Linked DNA regions of Nothobranchius furzeri. The protein of the gene in region 2 binds, or shares a complex with, the protein of the main gene of each other region. Links are inferred from orthologs where the notes say so. Each region holds a gene or a part of one and is shown on either strand. Other genes may lie near its edges.

Region 1 (3,500 bases), on a different chromosome or scaffold from region 2:
GTTACCAAGTTTAAATAAACCAAAAACACCCGGCAGCAAACAGACCAGCATGGAGGAGAGACTGCTACCACCAAAACAGCTCTCCTCGTGTCTGAAAGAAGCTCCTTAATGAAGGGAGAAGCGCTCCCGGTGATTTTCTACATCTGCGGTAGACACGAAGCAGCGCATCTGACCCCGGAAGTTGTTGTCCGTTGCCGGGAGACGAAGGGGCAAAACAGGAAAATAATCTAGTAGTGGACGGACGTTGTTCCGGGTCTTCGGTATTTGGCGGAGATGTTAGTGAAGGCGGAGAAGAGGGCGAACTAGAGGAAAAACAGGCAGATTCCTCCTCTATTTACAAACTCCTGGGGATGCAACAAGTGGGCGCGGTGCGTCGACTTCCGGATCTGACGTCGACAAATTTTTAGAATCGAGCCGTCGACTTCGTCGAGGCTTCGCTACAGCCCTAACTGAAGTAGGACCTCATGTTTTATAAAATACCACCAAACTTCCAAGAAACAACATCATCTGACAGTGGATACAAAACTGTTCCAGCAAATATCTACAAAAAAGAACAGAACAGCTAAAGGCTGGTGGCCGAGGTCCTCACCTTGTTATCCAATCCTGCTATTTCCTGCTGACTAGCAGTAGAGAGCAGGAAGGAGTTCATCTGTGTTTTCAGGGTGTCATCCACCTCCACATCAATGTCATAGCAAGCAGTCTTTTTCTGGTCATTGGGGTCCACGCTAGTGAAATGAAAAGCATCGTTGTGTGCTTGAATTTAACATTTATTCAAGTACTTAAGAGTCGATTTTAAGTATTGAAGATTAATTGTCAAAGCTGCAGAAATAAAATATAAGGGTCATTTAGAGGCAGTGCTGACACTTGACTCTACCCGAAACCAGCGCAATAATTACCTGATCACGTGGTTAATGATGATTGGTTCTGGAGGCATCAGCAGTGCGTGCAATCGCTGAGGGATTTCAGAAAACTTCATCCGCTGGGTCTCAAAAATCTGTGACATCAAAGAATGATGTGGTTTTAGTTTGAATAAATTGCTCTTTTGAAACTGAACACGATGGACTGTGTTTTTTTAGAAGTGTAAAACTAATCAGCAAATCAACACGCAGAACATATCCATTTCCTCTGGACGTAGCTTCTTGAGTTTGTTTATAAACTGGTTTAAATGCTTTATTCTCCCTTTTGTACATCCCTGATCACAACAGTGCAACTGCATCAACAATCTGAGGTTTCATAAAAGCAATCCTTAGTTCACAAGTAAACTTTGTATGAATTCAACAATCTTCTGTTGCTCTTGGCAGGGAAAAGAAAACAGAAGCTCAGAGAAACCAGACAGAGATTCATGAAGAGATTGAGCCACCGTACAAGGACACAGAGAGGGAGACAGAGCGAGAGACAAAGAGATTGGGGACACACACACACACGCGCGCGCGCGCACGCACGCACGCACACACACACACACACACCACACACACACACCACACACACACACACACACACACACACACACACACACACACACACACACACACACACACACAAGACAGAGAGTGAGAGATGGGGAGAGAAAGAGAGAGAGAGTGTTGAATATCAGGAGCAGAAAAGAAACAGGACAGGTCTGGTTGTTGAGGCTAGTTTATGCTGAAACCTTCAGAAATATCATGTTTGTTGTGTTTCATGACAGAAACATTTAATTGTTTTATCTTATTTCTCGAGTGAGCAAAGCCACAACTCACCTGCTGCAGGTATTTGTCACAGTTGATAAACTCGCGCTCGTGTGGGTCTTGGAGTTTGTGTGTTTTGACATACTGCCACAGGGCCTGAATGATGACAGGCCTGGTCTGGGTGTGGATCCCCAGCATGCGGGCCAGTCGGGGGTCCAGTTTAAACTGAGGGGGCTGAAATGATGAAGAAATATATCTCAAGTCAATCAGGCTCCTTGATGAATTCAGACACAATTTAAAAACAACATTCACCCCTCAGAGTGTTACCTGGTAATCAAGCATGAGAAGGACGGTGCAGCGAACACCCACATCCCCAGGCCTCTTCACCTGGAAACCATCAGTCTCCTGGGTGGTGGCAGTTCTATGCCACTGAAATACAAACAAAGCATTTAAAGAAACCAGGTTCATGTAACAACATCATTACATACATCTTAAAATTAGCAGATTAGAAAATGACAATTTTTTTTTGGATAGACGAGAAAGCCTCTAACTTCTACAAGGTGATTATCTGGTCCATAAAGGTCTTTGTCCAACTCGATCACAAGAGACTTGAAGAAAGATGAGAACTTTCGTTTTTGTTTGGTGGCTTCATACTTGGACACGGCTGTCTGCAAAACAACAAACACACATTTAATCTTTCACAGCTTGAAACTTAGTCCTAGATAAACCAAATGACTGCCTTGTGAGTCACTCTGTTAAAAAGAAAAGCCCCAGTGATCCTGTTTCAGGAAGTAGAAGTTAATCAGAGGAGTTGAGGGTCAGAAAATGACATATGGATATGGAGGCTTACTTGTTAATATTCATGATATTTGGACATCTCGCCTCTGATTGGTTTATAGCAACGCAACTCTTCCACTGACTGTTAGCTCAGAAAACTTGGATGTTTTACCTCCACAAATAACACAAGAGTAACCCGAAGATGTTCTGTTGTGGAGTTGCTAATGCTAATAGTTAGCCTGAGACGTGCTCTGCTCTCTCCTGGATGCTAAATAAACAACAGCCAAGAAGGGTGAGTCCATGAATGCTAAATTAGTGTGACGCTGATCTGAGTGTTTTATTCTGACCAGAGTGTTTCCCGGTCTATTTTCCAACAGCGGCTAATGAAAGAAATAAGGCCAGCAGTCTATTTTCACATCCAGCCATCACTCAGAGGGACTGATCATATTTAAAAAATAACATAAAAACAGTTTCACAGTAAAAAATAGAAATGATAAGAATCTAAAATGTGCAGCTTACATCTTCCAAGAGCCGCCCTTCAACACGCAGCTCCCATGATGCAACGGTTCCCTCTCCGTCCTCAGCATCAGGCTTTGCAGGGTTGAAGGTGTTGGATATAAAGATCCTAAGCTTTCTTTTTTGCTGAAAATAAGCATAAAAACAAAAAATCTTTACACTAATATAAACTACTATAGCTCACAATCAGCAGTGACACACAGTTGTTTTAAGAACAAACAAAGATGTTGCAGCTTCATTAAAAACGTGTGTTTTACTGTGCAGAATTCAGTGTTTACTATTGAGTTCACTTAAAACGTCTGTTGGGGAGACTCGACGGCCTCACGACGAGACAAACATCGTTTTGTTCACAGCAACAATAAACGAGTAAACAAGCAAAGGCAACATCTCATAACTATGACACCGAAACTAATTTAGCATACAGATCACAGTGAAAAAAATAAAAACTCACCATACAATCTGACATGTAAACAAGTTTAATGAACGTCTTATTTGATGACCAAGATTGAAGAGGTTTTTAAGTCAAGTTAATGTATGAAAAAG
Region 2 (3,304 bases):
GAGCACGAAGAGGAGAGCGAAGGAGAGGAGTCTAAAACGGCTTCTGCAGGTAATGGTGATCTTTACAAAACAATCCCAGCTTGTGCTGGGATTTGTTTTTCTGTATTCATCTTTTAAAACTTCAGTTAAAATAGGAAAAAAAATATTTGATTGTCTTCTGACAGCAGGTTAAAAATGTTTCCTTCCCTATTCAGACAAGGAAAAAGAGGAACCAATGAAGACTTCTCCTGATCAGGAGAAGGAGAAGGAGGAAAGTGAGGCTATGGAGGAGGGAGAGGACAGGAGGAAAAAGCTGGAACATGACATCGGAGAGGGAAACATCGCTACGGCAGCGGCTGCTGCTCTTGCGTCCGCCGCCACCAAGGCCAAGGTGAGGAGATGTCACTTTTCATTCATCCGTGTTTGTTTTCCAGAGAAGTTTCTACTGAAAACAGTTCAGAGTTAAATTAGGGGCTACTGAGATGCTTATGTTCACGTTAATCTTCTGTTCAGCACCTGGCAGCAGTCGAGGAAAGAAAGATCAAGTCGCTGGTTGCTCTGCTGGTGGAGACCCAGATGAAGAAGCTGGAGATCAAGCTGAGGCACTTCGAGGAGCTGGAGACCATCATGGACCGCGAGAAGGAAGCTGTAAGTTGAGTCGGAGTTTGTTTTAGTAGCATCATCAGAGGTTTGTAGTTTTAAAACGTTCATGAATGAATGCAGTGCAGCTCAAACACTTCTTCTGCTTCACCTTTGCCAGACATCATCCGATTATCATCAGCCACATGAGTCAAGCTAATGAGAGATTAACTAGAATCGAAGCAGCTCTGCCTTTTTGTTTAGCTGCTTGACCACATCTGTGGGACGTTACTGTTATTATCGGAAAGCGTTAGTTAGTGTTAGAATATCCTGATCCTAGGAAAACCAAACCTTAGTTCCTTTAGGTTCTGTCTGTGGAAATGCCAAAAAGTGACCCGCCGTCTAACTTTCCCTTTCCTGCGACTGCTTCATTGATCAAGTGGCCGGTAAATATTTAGTCAGTAGCAGATGTTCCCTCGTGGTGGAGCTGCTTTCCATGAGCTCCAAGTCTTTATAAGAAACATGAATTCTTTATGAGGAAGCCAAAAGGGTTTTATCTACAGCTGAGCAGCTACTTAGTGATGCTGTTTAAACTGCTGCTCTGCCAGGGAAAAGCCTGATTTAGCTGGTGTGTGTGTCCCTGGAGATGCTAGTGAGAGTGTAAAACTGTGTTTTCTTGTGGCAGCATCTGGACTGAAGCCTAATTCAGCCCATTCACAGCTGCAAAAGCTGCTCGAAAAGAAACGTTTTAGGAATCTGTCACGGAGCAAGACGGAAACCAACATGGCTGCTGCTGTAAACGCTCAGGCTGAAAGGATCCACAAAGAAACACGGGACAAGTCTGAGCTTTCAGTTGCCTTTAGGTGTCCGCTTCATCAGCGTGGTGAAAATGGAGCAGAATGAATTTATTATACACACACACACACACGCAAACACACACACAGATTTTTTAAACCCCTGGTTCTTGAAGAATGCTGCTTTGACTGAGCTCTGGGTTATTTGGTTGTGGTCTTTGTAATGTTTCTGCTTCCTGGTCTTTAACTCCTCTTCATCCATTAATGTGTGTGTGTGTGTGCAGTTGGAACTTCAGAGGCAGCAGCTCCTCACAGAGAGACAGGCGTTCCACATGGAGCAGCTGAAGTACGCTGAGATGAAGGCCAGACAGCAGATGGAGCAGCAAGCTGCTGCCGCTGCCGCTCAGGCCCAAGGACAAGGACAGGTCCCTGGATCAGGACCCCACCCGGGCCCTCCTCCACCAGGTATGCACCACGGCGTACCCCCACCCCACCATGGAGGACCTCCCTCACACCATGGAGGACCCCCACCCCACCACAGCGGACCTCCTCCCCATCATGGAGGTCCACATCCGCACCACGGCGGTCCCCCACCAGGCGCTGCAATGCACCCAGGCTATCCGCCAATGGGCCACCACCCTATGGCCCCCCACCACCCAGGACAGACGGGTGAGACTAAGCAGAATAAAGTCTGTGGAGAAAAAAGTAGCTGTGAGATATTAGCATGTTTTTTTTTAAATAAAATTTTGTTTGTTCAAATAAATCTTGACTAAAACTTTGTAAATATTTGTCTTAAAGCAAAGCTACTGATAAATGCTTATTTAAAACATGAAGCAAATGTTTTACTTAATTTGAGCCGTCTCTTCATGATCTTTGTCTCTTAATCAAAACTGCAGGACCAGTAGAACCAGGTCAGCAGATGCCTGGACGTATGATGCCTGGACCCCCCTCCGCCGGCCCACCTCCAGGTGGGATGCCTCCCATGATGCCCCCGCGTCACTCTGGAGCCCCCAACGGCATGTGTGAGTACAGAGCCCCCCCACACACACACACACACACCAAAGTTCTGAACCTTTGAACACAAACCACCACTTTTGGTCTTCCTTCATCTAAATTTGGCCTCTCTGTCCCTGCAGACCCCGGTCCTCCTCCTGCACAGCCCGAGGTGCTGCCTCCAGCTCCAGTGGGTCCCGCAGCACAGCCAAGTGGACGAATCACTGATAACTAAGACCCACACAGACGCACAAAAGCACACATCTCTGAATTTCTGCCCCCCTTTTGACGACTCAGCATTTGCCCATTAAAGCTGCCATAAACGTCACCCTCCGTCACACACACACACTCACACTCAGGGTTTATCAGCAAAAGTGACCCAGACATCACAAACACACATGCAGACTTCCTCTCAGGGCGCAGCGGCGAGGTTCATCTAGTAATAAACACTGTTTCTGCTCTGTTGGGCAAACGGGAGGCTGTAGCCAGAAAACCAAACAAGGAGACAGAAATCATCAGAAAATATTGTTTCTCATTCTTTACAGTAACAATGCTGTTTTTTTGTTTGTTTTTTTTTTTTGTTGTGTAAATGACACTGTAGCCTTTTCTTGTATACCAAAAAAAGATAACCCCTTAAAATCTGGTCCTCCCTTTCCTCCAAATCAAACACTAGGGGGAGCTAGAGGGACCAGAGGCCCGGACAGACCCTCAGGGTTCTGTGTGCTGAGCCGAAACTCCCAGCCTGCCCTTGTTCTGATGGAGAATCTACCTCTCGCTCTTCTTTAAATGATACACTGTAGATCTGTGTGTGTGTGTGTGTGTATGTGAATGTGTGTGTTAGACAGAGGGAGGGTCGATGGCAGCGTGTGCCTATTTATTTATCAATACATTTCAATTTCGTTGATCCTATTGATCTTGAGAAATTCAACAAAAAGGCCAAAAAGGTCCCCAGTAGGTCA
Region 3 (3,500 bases), on a different chromosome or scaffold from region 2:
CACAGTGGAGGGACTATTTTTCTGAACTGGTCAGGGAACGCCTTGGGATCTCCCCGGAGGAGCTGGCCCGAGTGGCTGGGGAGAGGGAAGTCGGGGCTTCTCTGCTTAGGCTGCTGCCCCCGCACCCCGACCCTGGATAAACAGATGAAAATGGATCAATTCTAATGAAGAGATGGATAAACACACAAGTGGTGCTGAGATTTTTAACCTTTAATGAAAGTTCAAACCAATCTGAGTTGTTTGGACACTTTATTCGACCTTTTCTTGTTGTCGTCAGCAGGAGTGACTCAATAAAGCAAAGTGACATCATCACATCGACGTTTTAAAACTCGGCCGTTTAACTGTTGCCTCCTTTTTTGTGTTTTCCCCATCTGCAGCTTCAGCGACGTTTAAAACTGAAATAAACCAGTTAAAGGCCGAGCTGTTGTAGGAGGAAGGCCTGTTCTGCTCTCAAAGCTGAAAGTGTGTTGTGTGTTTTTCTGCAGCTGATGGATGAAAGCAGCCAAATGAGTGAGCTGCCAGTCAAAGTCATTCAGACGGAGACGGGGAAAGTTCTGCAGGGGACGGATGCACCCAAATCCAGCCAGCTGGAGGCTTGGCTGGAGATGAATCCAGGGTGAGGAGACAGAACTGATGCTGTTTGTGTCTTGGATGTGTCGGTCAGCGAGTCTCCGGTTGTCCTGCTGGTCCAACTTCATTTAGGTTCAGCGGTTCGTGATCCACATCCTAACAGCCGGTTCTGCTGGACAACAAATCTAAAAGGCTAGGTTATCCAGAGTTATCTCTGTAGTTTATGTTTATTTATGTGGGTTTTATCCAAAGCGACTCACAATGTATAACCTATAGGGCATGTTGTGATCTGTGGGGGAAACCGGAGTACCCGTAGGAAACCCACGCATGCATGGGGAGAACATACAACTCCACGCAGAAAGACCACAGCCGGGTTCGAACCTGCACCCTTCTTGCTGCGAGGCAACAGTGCTAAGCACTGCGCCATCATGCAGCTCTAGTTATGCTGCTATAGGCTTAGACTGCTGGAGGATACACTGACCACTTTCCACACTCGACTACTTTCTACTACAATCTGCTCTTTAACTGTATTATTTTCTGCTATTTCAGCTGTTAACTTTTATTTTTTCTCTAAGTGTTTTTCTCCCCAGAAGAAGCTACAATGATGCTCTGCTGAGCTGTGGTGGCTTAACCACTTAAACATTCTCCCTCTCCTGATAATAACATTTTACTCTCTTTGACGTTGGATGTGCTACTACCAGTTTACCCGTTTAATTATAGATCCACTATAATAAATACAATAAAGTTTATCTCTCACCAAATAGATTATTTACTAACAAATCACAATGTAACCATATAAATGTTTGGTATATATGGTGTGTGTGTGTGTGTGTGCGCACGTGCATGCGCGCACGCTCTGTCTTCTCCATCCCCAGTGAGTCGTGGAGGATGGCTGCTTATACTGATCCAGGAGTCTCTGGAGGTTTCTTCCTGTTAAAAGGAGTTTTCCTCTCCACTGTCGCTGCATGCTTGCTTAGTATGAGGATTGCTGTAAAGACTCTGACACTAGTCAGTGACTCGATGCAACCTGCTGGGTTCCTTATGTAGGAAACTTGTTACCGGTTGGCTTAATGACCTGACCTGTGATGGATTTTTTACTATGTGAAGGTCCTCGAGACGACTCTTGTTGTGATTTGGCGCTTTAGAAATAAACTGAACTGAATAGAAGTTTTACTCCCAATAACATTCCCGAAATGCCGTTAAGCAGCCGATCTGGTACAGAGCTGGAATCTGTCCAAATGATGGTGATTACAGACGCAGAGGGGCGTCCCAGAAACAAAGACATCTCATGAGTTGGTCACCTGGCATGTTTTATTCTGGAAACCAGGAAGTTTTACCAGACTAAGTGGTGCAAATAATTATCTGTATTATGATCTTAAATAGTTTTGTAGTTCTGTGAGGTTTGGATTGTGGATAACTGGACCTTTATTTATTTTTTCAATAGTTATGAAGTCGCCCCGCGATCCGACAGCGAGGAGAGTGGCTCGGAGTTTGAGGAGGAGGTTGGTGACTTTCTAGTAACCTCTGCTCTTCTCACGTTACATCAGCTGTGTGTGAGAACATGATGCTCCACCAGGGGGCGCAGCCCGCCCGTGTGCTTGGGTTTTACCATGCTCTTTGATATTTGTTATCCTCTAACCTTTAAGGAAGAAGATGAGATGGCCAAGGCAGAAACGGAAGAGAAGAAGAAACGTGGTCCCAACGGAGAAGAAGGGAACGTGAAGGAGGCCAAAAATATCATCGAGTAATTAAGTTTCCTTTTATTATCAGACTATCTTACATCTGTTTAGAGAAACGTTTTCATTAAAAAGTTATTTTGGGGCTAAAATTATTCTAATTAAAATTTAAACTCTCAAACTTCCAGGACAGCCAAACAAGATGTGGATGATGAGTACAGCGTTCCCACCGGGCAGACCAGCTCCCAGTCCTACTACGGTGTGGCCCATGCTGTCATCGAGAGGGTGGAGAGGCAGTCCTCGCTCCTGATCAACGGCACCCTCAAACAGTATCAGGTACACGCGCGCACACGTATACAGACACACACACACACACACACACACACACACACACACACACACACACACACCTACACCTATGCTAAAGCTGTTGTCATGTTCGTGGTTCTGCTACAGTCAAGAATGGGGTTTCTATAGCAACAGGTCATCTTTACTCATTCTGCAAAGCAAACCTGGGTCAAAATGACAATCCTTCCATCTTAGATTACGGTGACATCATTTATAGAACTGCATCCAAAAACCTTCTTCATAAACTGGACGTCGTTTATCACTCAGCAACCCGTTTGGTCACTGGTGCCCCTTTCACTACTCGTCATTGTGATCTGTACCCACTCGTTAACTGGCCACCACTCCATTCCCGCAGGATATTACATCGGTATCAGTTCTTTTTTTCATTTTTTATTTTATTTTTTTAATATTTTCTTTTTATTGAAAGTTTTGTTAAGGTACAAAAGATACAACAACAATAACAATTAGGCACAGTGGAACCGTCGGGTCCGCCCTGTTCCGGGAGAGCCATCCTCCCTTCTCTTCAAAGTCCCATGACCTCTGGTTTTGTCCATACAGTAATCCCTCGCTACTTCGCGGTTCGTTCATCGCGGATTCGCTGCTTCGCGGATTTTTTCTTTGGAGCATTTTTCAGGGGGAATTCGCAGATTCGCGGTATTTTTCACTGATTCGCGGTATTTTTCTATGCGAAATATCAAGAAATTCTTGTTTTTTTTCATCAATTTCATCATAAAATGCACTTTTTGTAATAAAACTAAAAAAACCAAGTAAAAAAATTTTTTTTCTTGAGTTTTACCAACAAAAAGAGAATGTGATCATATGATAATTCAATATAGTACCGAATGTCAGACAGGTCAGCTGGATTCGGGAGTTGAGCTTGTAGGGAGCGAGGTTTCACAGACGCGG
Region 4 (3,500 bases), on a different chromosome or scaffold from region 2:
GCAGGACAGGTAGTCCTTAAAAGAGGAGACCACACATTTGCCTGTGGGCAGAATTGAGCTTAATTAAACTGTTGAAAGGATAAAATCTGTCATTTTAACTGAATCTGAGAAGCGGCACCCTACAGAGATCGTTTCACATCTGAGAAAACTCCCTTTAATTAGCTTTAAATGTCAGACCACTTCTTAACCTTATGCAACATTTAATGCTGGTTTTAATATACTAAGCCATCAAAAGGTTCCCAACACACACACACACACACACACACACACACACACACACACACACACACACACACACACACACACACACACACACACACACACACACACACACACACACACACACACACACACACACACACACACACACACACACACACACGTCATTATTTAATTAAAGAGAACGATTTAGTAATACCTATGACACAGGTCAGGGGCAAGGTCTCCTCCAGCTGACTCAGAAACACTTCTTTCTTGTAGAACATCTTTGTGGGTTCGTGCTCCGTTTCTTCAGGGTGAATGAAAATGGGTCCAAAGAAGAAGGTGGCTCCATTCTGGACCCACAGCTTCTCCATCCTGCAGAGCAACCAGAGGACGATCAAACCCAAAACAGCACCAGCACCGTTTTATTAAGTCCTCCTAACCCACCTGGCAACCCGAGGTTTGGACAGGCCGTGGGACCGGATGTAAACGAAGTCGCCCACTTTAAACCAGGAGCTGTTGAAGCGCAGCTGTTCATAGTGCTGGCAGCCAGGTTCTGACCCGCTCGTCTCCATCGGGACGTCTTCCTTCTCCTAAACGAATTCACATCACCACACAGGAGGAGTGTTTACATTTAGATACCCTCGAAACGTGCCACTCAGCTCTGTCAGGACTTGTATTCTACCAGATGATCATTTAATTAATACCCCGTAGTAATGGCAAAGTGACACCATTTGTCTTGAGCGATAAACCTCTAAGGATTGCAACTGTTAGTCTAGCAGTCCAGTTTTGCAGGACTTGTGGAGTTTAAGGTGCATCACCAGATACTTTTCTGGCTATTTGTGCAAGCTGCTCTTTGAATTAACACAACTCTGAGGTCCAACCCCCTTTCTCCCATCGGCCACGCCTCCAGAAGAAAAGAAGGCATAAGGTTCAGTTGGTCCATTTTCTGCCTTAATTCGTAGCATAACACACCTACATAACCATATACGACTACGTACGCTAGCTAAGTTAGTGTTGGGCAAAAAAAAAAAAGGAATTTTTAGCAATCTTGTTTGTTTTTAACTGTAAAATCACAGCAGCTCAGCGCCACAGACAGTCTGGGAAAACCTCAGAGGAGCAGCTTGATGGAAAGACCACGATCAAATCATGAAGAACAATGATTGGATGAGGATTTTCCAGGACCGTACCCTTCAGGGTAAATTAAAATGATTCATTTTTTGACAAAACGTTTAGATTATTAGTCGGCATTGGTGTGTGGAGCATTTCAAACAATATGGCTAAAGATGCTCCAGAAGAACATCTCCTGCTGCACCTCTGATAGTAGTTTATTTGTGACGTCTGGTATAATCCAACAAACAAAAAAATATTTTTTATTATCTTCAAGACTTCATTGAAAGTAAAAGTAGCTTAAGCTTGATTCCTATTGGATAAATACAAGTAAACAAAGACTAAAGGTCGATTAATCCATTTCTGTAAACATCAAACAGACCAACTATTATGTAACGTCACCTCACCTTGTCCACAAAACTGCCACCATCCGAGAATGAAAGCATCAACTTTTCCAGGTCCGGTTTGGCAAACATGGAAGCAACACGGACCACTGGAAGGGGAACCTCTCGCGGAACCATCTGCGCTGAACTCTCAGGCATGGCCCAGATCTTGATCTTCTTGAAGATCTTATTTCTGGCCGTGTAGCGTGACTCGCACACGAACACGTCCTCGGCTTTAAAACCTTCAGGCTGCATTCTGAAATAATCCTACAGAAACCAGAAAGAGGTTCGAATTCTCGTGTCTACAGAAAACAAGTCACTTACGTCGGGCGTTGAGTTTAAAGGAGAGTCTTGCCTTCACAAAAACCACAACACATCTGCCCAGAACTTTACTGAAGGACACTTTGTTGTAGTAGTCGCTCTTGAACACCTCCTTCTCCAGAAACTTGCGAGTGGCCAGGTGAAAAGTTTCACTGGGCCTGTAGAACCAGCAGCCATAGAGCCACTTCTCACCTTCAGACACACACAAAAAGTGATTTTATACAAAGCTTAAGACACAGATTTATAAGAGAGAAACAAACAGTTAACAGGTAAAGGCTCGGTTACCCGCTTCGTTCTCCCACAGACGCTCGATACAAACAATGTGAGGCTTCAGGTTGGGCTCCGACGGCTCCACATAAACGAAGTCTCCTACGTGGTAGGTGACGTTTTCAAAGCTGCAGACCTGCACGTAGACACGCTGAGACTCAGACTCAGGCTGCCACTCCTCTTCTGGCAACTCCTCTGCTTTCTTCTCTTCTAAAAGTGAGGAACGTGAAAGTTCAGCGACACGTGCGACACTCTCCACACCCAACGTTTTGTGCCAAATGTTTTCCAAACCTTTCTTCTCCTCCTCTAAATTCTTCTTATCCTCCTCGACCTCTCGGGGAATTTTCTCCCTCTTCTCCTGATCCACGTCGCTGTGCAGGTGCTTGACGGTGTAGTTGAGCGCGGAGGAGAGCAAAATCTCTCCGTTCTTACAAAGCTCGTCTCTGATCTTGATGAAAAACTGCTGAAGCTCCACAGCATCGTCAAACACCTCGGAGTCGGTCCTGCGAGCCCAGAGAAGACACAGAGGCACGTTTCACCGGCTCGCTTTGCAAGAGTTACGTTTTTCCAAGCTGATCTGGTAAATACATAAAGTATGTGATTATGTCGAAGCCTTACGCAATCACCACGTCTGCCTGCAGATCCTAATAGAGGTCGCTACCTTATTTTGGCGTCTAATTTGGCGTCGCTCAGAGACTTAGACCCGCTCCCGTGTATTTAAGACCCAGTTTTTATGGTTACGTGTAACAAAGCTGCCAGTATTTTCCAACATTTTGACGTATATTTCCAGAGATTAATGATAAAAACTACATATCGTCTCTTTAACTTTGTGCACTGTCAGTATTTATTATCCAGATGTTATTAGTGAACATACAACTGCATTTAAATTAAATGCTGTAGCAGCATCGGGCTGCCCGAAGATGTGCCTGATATATCAGGCCGATGTAAAGCCGATTCTATCGGTCTACCTTTAGATCCTATGACCAAAAACGTAGATAAACAAGCTGGAATACATCAAATAAAGGATTTTGTTATAATTAATGCACTATAAAAGTTTGGTAACCGTTTTCTGGATCCTATCAGCGAAACGACACTAAAGGCTGAGTTTGGATCTTCCTGTGTGTGAGCCAAGCTTCACTCGCTCTAGTGAAAATAAGACCGATTGTGGTAAGGTACTACAGTTTATAGCTATTCCATCTATCCTGTGTAAAATCTGTT
Region 5 (4,096 bases), on a different chromosome or scaffold from region 2:
AGCCCAGGCTCTGCAGTTTTGTTAAGAGGTGCAGCTTGATAGTTATTGATGCATAAATTGTGATGCTAAAACATTTCCAGCCCTCAGTTGGGGAATGCACAGGATCAAAGGGTTACATTTGTAACACGTTATTTCAAAGCAGTGGATCTACAGTAAAATTACAGTAGAACACACAAAGAACATATAATAAAATAAAAAATAAAGGAACATTCAAAGTATTTTTAAAATGTTGTTTTGTATGAAATGTACCTTTTGTAATAATCTTGGAACTGTCCTGGAATGAGAGCAACAGGATAAGGTCCTGTTCTGGTCAGCTCCGGAGCCAACACCTTGAATCTGCCTTGTGGCACCTGAATAATCTAGGATCAAAATAAGACATAAATCTTAAAACACAGCTGGTTAGCGCTGTGTCATTGTTGAATGTTTGATGTTGTATTTTACATGAGTCTGGAGGTCAAAGTACGCTCTCCGCTCCTCCATTCGCTCCCTGTTGAAGTTACTGTTGAACTCTGCAGCTTTTTTCGCTGCCTCCTTTATGTACTCAGGAACTTTACTTGCCTCCACCTTCTGAGGGTTCTGCTGCTGCATTTGCTAAAACATGACAGAAAACAATACAAGAATTAAGACCATTTTAAAAAATATTTATCAAAGCAACCATACCAGACATCCTGTTTATTCCTCACTTACAGAGTACTCTTTAGCTATTCTCTGTCGCTCCCTTTCCTGCAGAATGACTGAATACTCTGAGTGTTTGGTGGGATACTCTTTTATCATTAGATCGATCACTTCATCACTCCGCAGAGCTGTGAGGCCTGCAGACATGAATGCAGCAGGATAAAAAAATGAAGTGAGACTAAGTGTGCATGTAAAGTTAAGAGATATTATTCCTTACCCAGAGTGCATTGTGTCTCCGTGATGACATTCTGCTCACGAAGATAGAGCTTCTCCTTGTGGGACAAGTCTCTCCTTTCCATGTCTAAAAAAATCATAGATAAGAAATAAACTAAATCATAATAAAAAAAAATGAGTGCAGCTTCATAAAAATAGATCTAACATGGAGTCTGAGCCACTTTGCCCCTTGTTTATATAATCAAAAAGCACAATAGCTCCTCTACAACAGCTTATCACAAATATTATTTTGAAGTTTTACTTGAACAAATGCATTCATACAAAATCATTTTGAAAAAAGGAACAGAATTCCAGCTTGAACACAAGGATCCTCTCAGCCTCACCAGGATACTTCCTCTTGAATGACGTCACTCCCAGATACTCGCTGACCTGCTCCTGCAGCATGTAATATTCTCCTGTTTCATCAGCAGGCCACTTGTACTCCGTCAGGTTTTCTGCTGGGAAATATGTTGGCCTGAACAAAAAAAAAAATCCACTTTAGGAATAAAATTGCACATTCTAGAGTACAACACCTGGGAAAGTTTGACAAGTAAAGTGTGTTTTAAATTTAACAATATTGTGTAAAACATGACGGTAAAAACTAGATTAAAGCACCCTCTTACCCAAGCTCTTGATTGAAGGTATCGCAACTTCGAGAGCTGTCCCCCGAACCCATTCTCCTTCTCTTAGGTTGGCTGCCATCATTGGACACTTCCTCTATTACATCCTCCTAAAAACAGGAAAAAAGCTCTTCATTAAAATAAAAAAAAAAAACATGCTGAATGTTTTTATCTTTATCAAAAGTTCTAATTTATTTCAACTTTTGCTGCTTTTTACACATTTTCTGCCCAGTCATGTAACAGCAGAATAAGAGGTGATTAAATATTTAAAAAATTGTCAGGTTTCAAGAGATGTATACATCAGGTAAACTATTCCTGAAAGTCACAGTGCTTAAGAAATATAAATCTATCCTGGAAAAACCTGACAAAGGACCATGAAAGTAGTTGTTTACAAAAGACTTGAGTGTTTCCTCTGTACCCAAATCAGTGAAAATGAATGGAGGGCAACCAAAACCTGAAATGCAATACAGCTGCATCATCAACTTTAGAGGCATTAACCTCTAGAATAATAGGGTTCAAACCCTCTGGCTTGAGCATCACTTCTAAAAAATGAAAGTTTATAGAAACTACTGTACATATTAGACAAGACCATTTCCCTGACAAGGTAGGATTAAAAGACTCGTGTGTTGTTTGCCAGTTCAGGGTTACTTCATACATTTTTTATTTTAAATGAGCCACTGCAAAACATGATTTATGAGTGATATAATAATTCATTACCTGTAAACAACTCACGTGTACAAAACGTGTTATTTTAGGAAAAACAAGTATAAGTTTCATTAGATATAAAATAAAAGTAGAACTTAAAATAGAGAAATTAGCAAATAATGCATTTTGAGGTTACGTTTCGTTTTTATACGAGTCAAATTACACAGGCGACTTTTCAACAACTGAAAGGTAAATTGAATAAACTGAGCACACATGAAAACAAAGAATGGACGCTAATACGGCTAACGGGGTCATTCGTGGACACAGGCTGAAGCATGAAGCAGTTTAAGGAGTGTGAATGTCACCTTTAAAGATTGCGCTCCTGGGGTGGCAGGATTACTATCGCAAGGTGGTCTAATGGGGAGCACAGTAGCCATATTTCGACAAAATAATGTTCCGCAGCTAGGCTAGTTCACTAGCTTGAGTCTGCGTTTCTTCTTCTATGGTAAAGCCTTCGGTTTAGAAAGCGAACTCTCCTGGCCTGGATCGGTGATAGAGGTGAAAAACGTTTTACTTTTAAATACCAAATATTCCGATCATGTATTAAAATCATGTGAAATCGGTTTTGGTCCTTTAACGCAAGGTTATCACAGCAGAACAATTTTTAAAATAGTTGTCTAGCTGCAGTCAGCCAATCACAGTGACCACTACTGCCGCCTACTGGTCAATACTTGCACGTATAATCCTTCAAGTTGACAACAATAATAAGTAATATATCTGGTCACTAATTATTACAATGTGGATGTTTCTTATTTGTGATTATTTTTTACATCTATAATAAATCATGATTTTAACGTTTCTGGAGACTTAATAACAGCTCCATAGTGAGGCGAAAACTATATAGTGCATCACAGTGTCGGTCATGGAAGGACTTTTACTTTGAAAGGAAGAACCTACGGGAAGTCGGAAGGAAAAATCAGCTGGAATGCACGGAAATTATCACTGGTGTATTCCTTTACTGAGCTAGCTGTGCATCTGTCAACTTTTATTCCTCCCTTCATTTTGCTTTTGGAATCAAACCGCCACATTGGCGATGTCGGAGTCTTACGGTAAGGAGTCTGCTTTAAACCGAGGCAACAGTTAACGGGTGCCTTCTGGTAGTCAGTGGTAAAGACGAGGCAGGTGTGCCCAGAAGGCGTTTTCTCATCGCAAAAAGATAGCCGACAGGCTAACCGTTTCACCACTCAAGGCTTCTGGCCTTAAAGCAGAGCTGTCAGTCAACTCAGATCATACATCTGGGTTTGATGTAGCTTTTCACACTGAATGTAACGGAGCTTTTGGGATTCTAATCAGAAGAACCGCTAGATACCAGGTAGGGGTAAAGAGGAGGACAGGGCTGGCATAAATTTGAGGCTGAACTGTTCAACTTTTTAAATAAATAACCATTTAATGCTCTCTTTATGTGTATATTTTACATTTGGATCATTCTAAATCTCACAGTAAAATATTATTGCAGCATACAAAATGAGTTGTTTACACCATAAACACAATGAACAAACCTGTGGTTAGTAAGCAGGTGTCCCTGCCTTTATAAACAAACCATCAGGTATTCATGTGTAATATATATCAGCTGGTTTATATCTCAGTTATAAAATAATCTTGATTCAAATAAGATTAGGATTAAGATGAGCTAGTGCCTATGAATGCCACATTAAGAGGGTCAAGCTGAGCTTATGTCTATTAAATGATTGTATTGTTCCCCTTGTAGATTTCCTGTTTAAATTCCTGGTAATTGGGAATGCTGGGACAGGAAAATCCTGTCTGCTGCACCAGTTCATAGAGAAAAGATGTAAGTTCTCTATTATTTCCACTTCTTTCACATTTTTTTTTTTGTGATTGATCATCTAAATGCCTGGCTAATTATTCAGGTTGATCATTTATTG
Region 6 (3,500 bases), on a different chromosome or scaffold from region 2:
TTAGGAAGTACACATTATAGAACAATTAAAAATACTATTTTTGATTTTCTGCCACACAAGCCAATACCACGTCTGAAGCATTAAACAAGAGTCACCAGACAAGCTGAGACACGGCTTCCTAAAGACAGTTGGTTGTATCAGTCCCGGGCTTTATTTGAGGAGCGTTGTTTGAGTAAAACCAGACATTCCTGTTGGAACTGCTGCCCTCGTGAAGCATCTGAGCGCAGCGACCAGCCTCAACATGCACAGCTCCCTGATCCAAGCACACACCTCAATAGCTCAGTGCAATATAACGTATATGTAATGTAGGTTTCTGTTTCAGATATAGAAAATAACCAACATTTGCAAGTATATTTATTGTGAAAAACACCTCAAATGTAAAAAAAGATTTTTAAAAAAGCTTTTGAATCAAAAACATGCAAAACACGGAAGCTGTACAAAAGTACTTGTACTACACACTTCTCAAATTCAATTAATCAACTTCACAAAACACATTTTGGCACAAATACACGGAATGTTTCATAAGACTGCTTGTAAAAAAGCTTTTTCCCCATACACACACCATTTTTTTATCTGACACCACAGCTGCATTCCTGTTTATAATCAATAGCAAACCTCTACAAAGGCTGTGAAAATTCATTTTTGTGGTCCTCAAACAAAAAAGTAAATAAAAAAAACATGTAAACCTTCAACATATAAACAAGAGCTGCTAAAGATCAGAGGAACAAAGAAGGCTGTATAAAAACAGCTTCTCATAAATCACCACAGGCATGACGTATTTCCTGATTTGATGTTTTTATGTATTAAAAATATGACCTGAAAGTGTTTTAAGGGTTTATCTTAAAACTTACATAAAATATAGATTCAAACACTCTTCAAGGACATTTCAATAGGCATGTAGTACAACTACATATATATGGGATAAACTGATTAAGGATATTTTTTAGACATCAGGCACTGTCAACATTTAAATGTTACAACTTTTAGAAAATCACACAAAACATCAGCGTGGGAAAGCAGAATCCTTTACAGGACCAGTGTTCAAACAGTTTTCAGCATTTTGTACCGCGAGTAAAAAAAAAAAAGAATAAAAAAGACAAAAAAGTAAAAATGATTTGAAAAGGCTCCAAATGAAAAACCATCCAAGGCAAACACGTTACAAAAGGACACATAAATCATCACTTTGGTCCCATTAGTAAATAAGTATGGCTTAAGCTGCGATCATGGCTGTCTCTATTCCAGTTAAACAAAAGCAAACGCAGGCAAACTCCTCTGGAATCTGGCCTTTAGGTCAGTCGGATCCCCAAAACTTGCTCCAGCTCCTGCCTTCTCTGCTGCACCTGAAACGGAGAAGGAGTACCTCTGGTTCAGATACAGATGACTAAAATGTGCTGTTCTGAGCTCTGGGATCTGTCTTCACTTACTTTGGAGTAAACGTATCTGCCCACTGCTTCTGGGACCCAGGGCGCCTCGTAGAACTCGGTCCTCCTCTCCTCCTCTGGGTTTCCGCTCACGTCTGTCATCAGCTGATTCAACAGAAATGCAACAGTGAACACAACAACACCAACAAGATGCCCCAAACATGCCTTTCATTTTCTTATCTACAACTGCATCTTGCTGAGATGTTGCTTAAGGCTCAGGAGGTTTGTAAAGCTACAGGAACACAGAACAAAGCTGTGGCTTCTGAACGAACCATGAACCATGTCAGGTGAGGGAGGACAGCTTTGACTTCTTAAACAAATTTAAAAAAAACAAGGTGGGGTGAAATCTGTGTTGACAGGAACCCAGACATGTAGATCCTTCTGATCTGATCATTTCTAACTGCTGGCTGGAACATTTATCTTTAGACGTGTTTCGGCTCGCTTTAGGAGATCAACCCTCCACCACCTGCAGCAGAATGCTTCCTGATTAGCTCTCTGAGCACATGCCGGCAACAAGGTGCATCCGTTTACTGGCTAAATATGTTAGAATGAGTTCTGTGCTATTGTGTCACATTATATAATGTAAACAAACGTAAGAATGCTGTAATCCCCATAATGAATATCACCTTAAGCAACATTTAATGATGAGTAAACACTGCAGATTCCAGTGGGACAGATTTGAACTCTTATGGCGAAGGAGTAAAAAAACAAACCCAATAAAACCTGACTTCCAGGTTAAGGAGAATGTTCAGAAAACTAAAATATTTTTGCCGTCTAAGCCGTAAAGGAAATCTAAACGAGTCAAGATCTAAACACTTGATTTAATCAGATAAAAAAAAACATAGGAACTTCATTTTACCCTGTCTCTGCTATTTAACTCAACTTCATTTCATTTTATTTAGTTTGTCCTGAAATGAGGGACTAAAATAAGACAAAAGAGTCACGATAACATGGTAGTTGCAGCAGACATTTCTTTACCTTCAGATCTCTGCTCTGAGACTTCAGCCAGTCTTTGATGAACTCTTGTGGATTATTGCTGAAGCTCAGCATGAAGTCTCTCTCAGTCTTGAGCTGGTTGATGTACTCAATTGTTTCATGAATCTGAACATAAACAACAAAGGAAGACGTTTCAGGTTTCTACAGGCTCGTTTCATTTTAGTATGAATCCAGATTAGACCCGACCTTCATCTCAAGAGTAGCGATTTCCTGTTGGTTGGTGGTGGAGGACAGAAAACTGTTCATCTGAGCTTTCAGAGGGTCGTCCACCTCCACGTCAATATCATAGCAGGCTGTTTTCTTCTGGTCTGTGGGATCCACGCTGCTCAGGGAACAAAGGAGTTGGTGGTGACTACAGGACGGGTTTATACCTTATCTCAGCTCAGAACCAAATAGAAAGTGTTTCTAAGGTTCTACGTACATCTGTGTTTATTAACTGTAGGAGCAGCTATGAACCTTATTCACCAAGTGTGGTGACACTGTGTGTCTGAAAGCAGAGATTGTCTGAAGCTGTAAGATGAGACCCTACCTGATGATGTGGTTGATAATAATAGGGTCAGGATGCTGCAGCAGGCCCGCCAGCTTCATGGGGATCTCACTGAACCTCATGCGTGGACAGCTGAAGATCTGAACACAATTTTATTAAACCGCATTAGCACTTAAGACAGGTGATGTTAAAAAACACTGATAACTAATCCATCAGAGTTCATATCCAGCCCTCTAAAGCTAAGACCAGGACTACATGAGTCCTGTTTCCATTTTAGGAGTTTAGGGGACGGGGAGAGCAGCTGTGTGAAGTAAAAAGTGCCGTTCAATGACCAGAAGAAGCTGTTTTTGACAAAGCAGTGTGGATAATGGCGTTGTGGGGGATTTCCACTGCATTATATGCGTTGAACCTTCAGAAACTGCAATTTCAAAGCAGCATTAATGCTGTTTGCTTTCTTTCACTTCCACTCATCTTCACCAACAACTCTTCCCATTTTTGAAAAGGCCAGTTATTTGGCGAATACAACCAATCAGCGTGAGTTAAAAACAAGCCCGCTCAGCGGCTCTACCAGCCGAGTACCTACCCCAGCTCAGGTA

The links.
Region 1: smarcc1a (region 2) and smarcd1 share a complex: the UniProt entries of both Homo sapiens proteins name them as parts of the BAF complex. The link is inferred for Nothobranchius furzeri from reciprocal best matches to the Homo sapiens genes SMARCC1 and SMARCD1.
Region 3: smarcc1a (region 2) and smarca2 share a complex: the UniProt entries of both Homo sapiens proteins name them as parts of the BAF complex. The link is inferred for Nothobranchius furzeri from reciprocal best matches to the Homo sapiens genes SMARCC1 and SMARCA2.
Region 4: smarcc1a (region 2) and pbrm1l share a complex: the UniProt entries of both Homo sapiens proteins name them as parts of the SWI/SNF-B (PBAF) chromatin remodeling complex. The link is inferred for Nothobranchius furzeri from reciprocal best matches to the Homo sapiens genes SMARCC1 and PBRM1.
Region 5: smarcc1a (region 2) and phf10 share a complex: the UniProt entries of both Homo sapiens proteins name them as parts of the neural progenitors-specific chromatin remodeling complex. The link is inferred for Nothobranchius furzeri from reciprocal best matches to the Homo sapiens genes SMARCC1 and PHF10.
Region 6: smarcc1a (region 2) and smarcd2 share a complex: the UniProt entries of both Homo sapiens proteins name them as parts of the BAF complex. The link is inferred for Nothobranchius furzeri from reciprocal best matches to the Homo sapiens genes SMARCC1 and SMARCD2.

The regions. Positions count from the first base shown.
Region 1 is NC_091743.1:58,849,879-58,853,378, forward strand, and holds part of smarcd1 (SWI/SNF-related matrix-associated actin-dependent regulator of chromatin subfamily D member 1), read right to left. Parts: intron 3,084-3,500; coding exon 2,961-3,083; intron 2,333-2,960; coding exon 2,216-2,332; intron 2,094-2,215; coding exon 1,992-2,093; intron 1,899-1,991; coding exon 1,737-1,898; intron 995-1,736; coding exon 897-994; intron 726-896; coding exon 590-725; intron 1-589. UniProt on the Homo sapiens protein: Involved in transcriptional activation and repression of select genes by chromatin remodeling (alteration of DNA-nucleosome topology).
Region 2 is NC_091745.1:65,024,658-65,027,961, forward strand, and holds the end of smarcc1a (SWI/SNF complex subunit SMARCC1), read left to right. Parts: coding exon 1-49; intron 50-194; coding exon 195-370; intron 371-492; coding exon 493-627; intron 628-1,636; coding exon 1,637-2,021; intron 2,022-2,248; coding exon 2,249-2,374; intron 2,375-2,488; coding exon 2,489-2,580; 3' UTR 2,581-2,804; downstream 2,805-3,304. UniProt on the Homo sapiens protein: Involved in transcriptional activation and repression of select genes by chromatin remodeling (alteration of DNA-nucleosome topology).
Region 3 is NC_091750.1:37,848,340-37,851,839, forward strand, and holds part of smarca2 (probable global transcription activator SNF2L2), read left to right. Parts: intron 1-485; coding exon 486-616; intron 617-2,014; coding exon 2,015-2,072; intron 2,073-2,216; coding exon 2,217-2,314; intron 2,315-2,434; coding exon 2,435-2,582; intron 2,583-3,500. UniProt on the Homo sapiens protein: ATPase involved in transcriptional activation and repression of select genes by chromatin remodeling (alteration of DNA-nucleosome topology).
Region 4 is NC_091743.1:66,062,332-66,065,831, forward strand, and holds part of pbrm1l (polybromo 1, like), read right to left. Parts: intron 2,786-3,500; coding exon 2,574-2,785; intron 2,493-2,573; coding exon 2,301-2,492; intron 2,208-2,300; coding exon 2,050-2,207; intron 1,962-2,049; coding exon 1,719-1,961; intron 795-1,718; coding exon 649-794; intron 577-648; coding exon 419-576; intron 42-418; coding exon 1-41. UniProt on the Homo sapiens protein: Involved in transcriptional activation and repression of select genes by chromatin remodeling (alteration of DNA-nucleosome topology). Required for the stability of the SWI/SNF chromatin remodeling complex SWI/SNF-B (PBAF).
Region 5 is NC_091749.1:34,751,047-34,755,142, forward strand, and holds the start of phf10 (PHD finger protein 10), read right to left. Parts: upstream 2,801-4,096; 5' UTR 2,591-2,800; coding exon 2,519-2,590; intron 1,619-2,518; coding exon 1,512-1,618; intron 1,364-1,511; coding exon 1,233-1,363; intron 977-1,232; coding exon 893-976; intron 813-892; coding exon 688-812; intron 592-687; coding exon 442-591; intron 360-441; coding exon 250-359; intron 1-249. Other genes in the region: rab4a (ras-related protein Rab-4A), read left to right, coding at 3,247-3,262, 3,922-4,002. UniProt on the Homo sapiens protein: Involved in transcription activity regulation by chromatin remodeling. Belongs to the neural progenitors-specific chromatin remodeling complex (npBAF complex) and is required for the proliferation of neural progenitors.
Region 6 is NC_091756.1:35,532,469-35,535,968, reverse strand, and holds the end of smarcd2 (SWI/SNF-related matrix-associated actin-dependent regulator of chromatin subfamily D member 2), read right to left. Parts: intron 3,045-3,500; coding exon 2,947-3,044; intron 2,740-2,946; coding exon 2,604-2,739; intron 2,523-2,603; coding exon 2,400-2,522; intron 1,527-2,399; coding exon 1,425-1,526; intron 1,341-1,424; coding exon 1,287-1,340; 3' UTR 284-1,286; downstream 1-283. UniProt on the Homo sapiens protein: Involved in transcriptional activation and repression of select genes by chromatin remodeling (alteration of DNA-nucleosome topology).